Tribolium castaneum: one gene and its partner. The protein of the gene in region 1 binds, or shares a complex with, the protein of each later gene. Links are inferred from orthologs where the notes say so. Each region holds a gene or a part of one and is shown on either strand. Other genes may lie near its edges. The genes, in order: SCAP and Trc8.

Evidence for each region.
Region 2: SCAP (region 1) and Trc8 share a complex: the UniProt entries of both Homo sapiens proteins name them as parts of the SCAP-SREBP complex. The link is inferred for Tribolium castaneum from reciprocal best matches to the Homo sapiens genes SCAP and RNF139.

What each region holds. Positions count from the first base shown.
Region 1 is NC_087398.1:6,299,811-6,304,210, reverse strand, and holds the start of SCAP (sterol regulatory element-binding protein cleavage-activating protein), read right to left. Parts: upstream 2,923-4,400; 5' UTR 2,683-2,922; intron 1,832-2,682; 5' UTR 1,752-1,831; coding exon 1,588-1,751; intron 1,512-1,587; coding exon 1,100-1,511; intron 1,046-1,099; coding exon 900-1,045; intron 845-899; coding exon 1-844. Other genes in the region: fray (serine/threonine-protein kinase OSR1), read left to right, coding at 4,188-4,243. UniProt on the Homo sapiens protein: Escort protein required for cholesterol as well as lipid homeostasis.
Region 2 is NC_087395.1:24,734,594-24,737,049, forward strand, and holds the end of Trc8 (protein TRC8 homolog), read left to right. Parts: coding exon 1-1,623; 3' UTR 1,624-1,935; downstream 1,936-2,456. UniProt on the Homo sapiens protein: E3-ubiquitin ligase; acts as a negative regulator of cell proliferation through mechanisms involving G2/M arrest and cell death.

The DNA of each region.
Region 1 (4,400 bases):
AAACCGCGTCCTGGTCCAAATATTCACAAGTTTCAACCGTTTCGGGATTTTTTTCTCTTGGGCGCCCTGCACCTGCCCTGCCACGATATTGGCAGGGAAGGAGGACAGTCGCGGGTGCGACTTCGATCGCCGAATACCGAACGACTTATCGTAGAAAACCTGGCTTTGGAAGAGACTGCTCCGAAAGCTCAGATTGTGTCTCTCCACCATGTTCTCCTTCCGCCGGATGTCAATCCCCAAAACCGTCGAGAAGAAAATCATCTGCATGAAATAGTCGGTCACGAGACCAACGACCGCAAAAATGCAAAACTCCTGGATGACCGCGACGAAGGTGAAGATCCCGAACGTCAAAATCGTGATTTCCAGGAGGAGGTTTTTGGTGATGGACCAGCCTTCTTTGCTCAAACCCTGCGCTATGCGGATTTTCACGTCGAGGTGGAGGGGCGACGAAACTATGCTTTTTGTTAAACATAGGACATTTTCCAAGCCAACTAGCAACACTAAATATGGAAATACAACTTTTCCTTCAAGGTTCAGAGTTAGGCCGAAGAAAAAACACAAGCCGTAGGTCATTGTGAGGCTTGCACACACGGTCAGAACGGAAGTAAAGGCCATTCCGAGCTTCGAGTGAATTAATTCGATTTTGCGAAACGAGAAATAAAAGTACAGGAACAGGATTAAAAACGCCAAAGTAATGGGAATGAACTCGACCAAGTTGATTTCACCGGGATATTGGATTATGAGAGTGTCGTTGAGCGTGGCAAAGTTAGCATTTGTTCCGTTTTCCAAATTTTGGTGTAAGGAATACACCGACTGCAGCTTTCTGCGCAAACCATGAACAAACCTGCAATACAATTTCAATTAGAAAGTCTGAAAACTTTCTATGAACGAATTATTACTTTTCGTCATATTCCTTGAAAAAAAGTGTTATGGCGTACTGAATGATTCTGTAGCGGTTTCGCAACGGATATCGTTTAATCCCGGTGTCAAACACCTTCATACCGAACATCATTTCCGTGATTGATGTTTTGCCTTTTTGGAAGTTCTGAAGTCAAAAAATTTTATATACATTACGAACAAGCGAAGCTCGTATTCTTACATGATGGTTGAAAATTGTGGTAAGTAGAGAGCTATCCTGCGTAAATTTGAGGACGTCCTGTTGCCACAAGTTAGCCGGCGACAGGACTAAACAACTATACTCCGGCAGGATGTTTTTGTAGTTTGATTTACTTTTCCTAATCGACTCGACATGTAAGCACACATGTCCCAGCGTTTTCTTCGTGGACTCATCCTGGTAATTTCTAACAGCTTCCAAAAGTTTAAAAGCCTCGTAAAGAGGCGCCCTGAAGGCGTCACCTAGGTGTAACTCGGGGCCCCACGGCAGGACCGTGCTCTTCAGCACAACTTGCTGAATGTAGCAAAAAGGTGGCACATTCGAGCTGGAATTCACGCTCGATGTCCATGTTTGCAAAGGCGAGTTTCCAGGGAGAGGCAAATTTAATAATGGATAACTGGAAATAAAGCCTTTATTAACATACGATATTCTATTACAACCTTGAATTGTTACGCAATGTTTGTATTATTTACCAAGAGAGCAGAGTTGCACAAATTGCGACGAAGACCAAAGCCCCGGGATATGTGCTACAAAACAGACCATGTGCGTAATAAAATTGGGCAACTTTCTCTTGAAGAGTTGAGCTTTTTCCACAGAAAGTACCCCTGGGTCGGGGTTCGTCCCCACGGGTGTTCATTTACTATGTTACGTTGGCCATAGTCGAAAAATGCAAAATTAAAGAATAAGTCACTTGAGAGGCGCTTCTTAACACCAAATCTATAAAAAAATACGAAATTTTAAAAAGCGTAGTATACAGGGTGGCGCCAGTTTCACAGCCACCCCAAAACCTAACAATGGCGCAATGTATATTTGAGTACTAATGCAGAATTTGGCCACTTTTTCTACTATTTCTTCCCAAAAACACCTTCGATCGATTGATTTTGTTGATTGTTTATTTAGAATACCTAACGGTTGCCTAACCTGAAGCATGGTCAGGTCGGAGGTGCAACTCGTGTCACCCTGTAGATTTTTTATTGAGCTTTATTTCGAGAAAATTCCTATTTTTTGGAAACAAATATCGCTAAATCTAGTTCTTGGAAGAACAAATTCTCTAATCTAAACAAGTGTTTTGCGAAGGAGATAACTCGAGGTATTTTTAACGCGAGGTAAAAAAAATTTGCTCTCGGAAAACAAGTTATAAAATATGTAAGTGTATCCAGTTATAATATATGTATTATCTTTAATAAAGAAAAGCAGAAGTCAAGGTTAATACAATTTGCACAATAATTATTATCACCAAGTGATTGTTAGATAATTCTTAAATGAATCTATTCAGCAGTTTAGTCCTTTATTGACCTACGCCTCCAAAAACCAAATAACCTCAACGTAACCAATTTCTACGAACTTACGTTACACTGGGCATTGACAAAGGTCATATAAATCATAAATAACGGAATGGCCAATCTTAATCTTTTACAGTTAAATCTGTGTCTAATCACACGATAATAACTTTTATTAATAGATGATTATGAATCATTTATCTTAAAAAGAATGAATTAAGAATCTACATAACCTACAAAAAACATTACACCAGTTTACGGCGGTTCGCAATAAGAATATCAACTTACCTTTGATACTGTCATCGTTGCCGACTTGATTTAATTCAATTACCAAGCATCACAATGATTTAAACTATTGTTTTTATTACAAAAAATTGATAAACACCTCATTCATACACTTGAGGATGACGAATTACGAAAATACACGCCGCAGGGCGCAAGCCTCTATTATTTTTTATAAATACCAACAACTACAAATAAGAGTACACATGTAATTTCGCATGCAGAAAATGATTGGCTGCAGTGAGCGATTACTGATAATCATAAGCTGAAGGTGGCACTAGTTGCAACACACAGCCAACTGCAAGTTTTTATTAATGTGTACTGTTGGTTGCCTGCTTACTACGGTTTTTTTTCAATAAACATCCCCTTATATCTCCAACTTAAGTTCAAAGACTAGGCTAATTTTATCGGGAACTGAATTTTGGGAATTTCGATAAAAAAGAAAGTTTGTTCAGCAGTAAAGTTTATTTGCTTATACAAATAAAAATGTGTTAAAAATAATTTATGAAAAATCCAGTCCTTTATTGTACATTTAGATGTTTACTGATGACGACACTTGCATCCCTGTTCCACTGGAATGGTGCGAGTATGTTTCCAACAGTTATGTTTTTTTGTAAAAATAGGAACTTGACGATAGGCTGTTTCACACGTTGGATTATACACCACTGTACAAAAACCCATCATGACTGACTCCTGGTGTGATCCAGTGGCGGGTTTACAAGTTATATTGTGGTACCTCTTTGGATATATCTCCTCATCTTCTGACATTTTTGGAACATCGTGTACTGTCCATTTTTCTACGCATCCTAACTTATTTCTCCTCTATAAATTACAAAACACTTAAAATATTTCGAAATAAGCAGCAACTCGATGCTTTTACTGTGTGTCCAGTTGGTATTCCACGAGTTTTTAGAGAATCATCAGTATCCTCTAAAAGCTGTATATCATGTTCGATTTGATCCCAAACATCATAATCGTCATAATTATTATTATCATAATTATTTATGTTATTTAAATAATTTATATCTGCCACCTCGGCAGAATCAGTGTCAAAATTGTAATCATTTATCGGCCACTGCTCTGCTGAATTTTTTGATAAAAATGAGAAGACAATCAATACCTGAAAATAAGAAACGTAGTGTAAAATGAAACAAAACATCTGACTCAGTTTCGGCACAGCCTGTATCTGAGTTGTTGTTAAGTATGTCACCTACGTATAAAACCTACTAATTGATTTTAATGGATAAATTAGATCATTTTCTTCCATGGCCCCTAAGGTCTTGTATAGATACATTAAGTTTGATTAAATGGAGAGAATTACGAATTCAAGTTCGCATTGTAGTGTTCTAAAGCCAGCAGCCTTGCAGGTATGTGTATCAGCATAGATAAATCGTTTAACAAAAAATTTAAGGCGAAAAAGTTTTAAACATGAAGTGATGCAGTTACAAATGTGTGAAACTTGGCGGACATTTTCCTGTATTGTTAGATCAAAACTGTGATTTTAATAATAAATGACCATGAAAAAACCCGAAGAAGACAAAAACTTCAGCATCAAAAGCGAAAACAGGTAAGTAAATACAGCAAAAAATTGCAAAAAAGATAAAACTTTCTTTCTGTAACTCCAGCTTTAATTCGACCAAATTTTTAACTGAACTGCAACAAAGTGTAATACCAATAGTTTTAAGATAAAATAGAAATTTGTATTTGATTTGCTATACAAGCTG
Region 2 (2,456 bases), on another chromosome or scaffold:
ATAATGTCCGTCGGCGTCGTCTTCGTCTCCTACTGGAGCAACGCCAGCACCATCAAATCCGTCTCGATCCTCCTCGAGGATTTCCAGAACGGTTCGAGCATCCTCGACAGCATCCTCTCTCTCAACATCGAACACCTCACAAAAAACGGAAGCATCACACTCCAAATTTTCCAAAACTACGTCCTTCAATGTTTCCTCTCCTTCATCTTCATCAACATCCATCTCGGCCCTCGCTACTCCACCCTCCAGAAAATTCTCCCGTTTGCATTCCTCGCCCCCAGTATGCTCTCAATCCTCCCGGTGCCTTCGTCCCTCCTCAACCACATGCCAGTCTTCTCCGCGCTCTTGCCCCTGGCTTTGGTCAAATTCGTCCTGTGGTCGTCCGTAGTGCCTATCATCCAGACCCTTTACAATGGATACACACACGCGAGGACTTTCGTCTCGAATTTCGGGATGTCGGCCCTTGTGGAGACGGAATGGACGCGTCTGAACGTCCCGGAAGTCCTCCGGACGTTCTGGATGCTCCGCGTCCTGGAACACGCCGGGATCTTCTTCGCCTCGGGTTACTGGGACCTGGAGGACGACCACACGCCCTACTTCCGGCTAATGAAGTACTTGTTAGTCACGGGGTGTGACACCTTGACCGCAGTGTTGGGCATCACGAGTATAGTGTCTTACGTGTGCAACTACATCGGGAAGTTCTTCCAGTGGTTGTTGTTAAGTGACGACGAAAATGATAAGAATTTTGGGACGGTTTCGGCGATAGTGTTCTACATCCTTGCCTTACAAACCGGCCTAACCGGGCTCGAGCCGGAGATCAGGTTCGTCCGGTTGTGCCGGAACTTCTGCCTGTTGTTCACGGCAATTTTGCACTTTGTGCACAACGTGGTCAATCCTCTGCTGATGAGTTTGAGTGCTTCGCACAACCCGTCACTGAGGCGCCACCTGCACGCTCTGCTAGTCTGTCTGGTGCTAGTGCTACTGCCACTGCTCCTAATGTACTACCTGTGGTCCACTCAGGACACTTCCACCTGGCTGTTGGCAGTGTCAGCCTTCAGCATAGAAGTGATAGTCAAAGTGTTCGTCTCCTTGGCCATCTACTCCCTGTTCCTGCTGGACGCCCGCAGGGAAACCTTCTGGGAGAAGCTGGACGACTACATATACTACATCCGCGCGTTCGGCAACACCGTCGAATTCTGCTTCGGCATTTTCCTCTTCTTCAACGGCGCCTGGATCCTCCTGTTCGAGAGTGGCAGCGCGATCCGCGCGGTCATGATGTGCATCCACGCCTATTTCAACATTTGGTGCGACGCCAAGGCCGGCTGGTCGGTGTTTATGAAGCGGCGAACGGCCGTCAACAAGATCGAGAGCTTGCCCGAGGCTGAGGAAGAGCAGTTGAGGCGTTTGGACGACGTTTGTGCCATTTGCTACCAGGAGATGCGGTCGGCGAAGATCACCCGGTGCAAGCACTTCTTCCACGGGGTGTGTCTGAGGAAGTGGCTGTATGTGCAAGACCGGTGTCCGCTGTGCCATGAGATCTTGCACGGGATGGACTGTGATGAGCGGAAGCAGAATCAGCCGAGGCCGACTGACCAAGAGGAGGAGAATAATTACGATAGGTGATAATTTTAAGATGTGATCTTAGGGAGTTTTAAGTTAGGGTTCGCGGAGTGTGCGTATTTTAGCGACTTTGACGAGGATTGAATTGGTGGAGTCTGTGATTTGGTCGGGGTGAGCCGACAGAACGATTGTTGAAAGGGTACTTATGTTAAATTTTTCTTGTAAATATCGATTGTACAGATTAGACGGTAAATACTTTCCTTGATTCAGTTTCGTTGTTATTTATGAAATTTTATAACTAAACACTTAAGTCACTGGGGCACTCCTGAATATGCTGTTATGTAATTTATTATAGAATAAAAGCTATTTTAAGTTTGTGGCCGTCTTATTTCCCATCATCCTTTCACCTCAAAAAACATTCCAAATTTTTATTTTGCACCGATTACCGATTAATCGCCGCTAATTTCAATGAGATATCTCGCAAAAAGTACAGATTCGGCAAAATTAAGTGTTTCAACAAAAAACCGATGCCGTTGTAAGTTGTAAACTTATTTGCTGAGCATTGAAAAGTTTTTCTTACAAAAACTGTAACACCAAAGTAATCGGCGTGAAAAATTCAAAACAGTGCCAATTTTAAGGAGAAATCTGGCGAAAATTCCATTTTCAAACGCTGATTACGGCAAAATTAAAAAGCTCAGACGAAAAAAACATCGGCACCGTTGTAATCGGCAATCAAACTTGGGTTTTTCCTATTTTGTCAACTGCGAAGACATAGTTTTCGCCAAAAACAGGTTAAAAATTACTATAATTTGAATTCCGTTTTTAAAACTACGATAATGACGCAAATATGGTCACAAAAAGTCAAACACCTAAGTAATCGGTGTGAAAAATTCAAA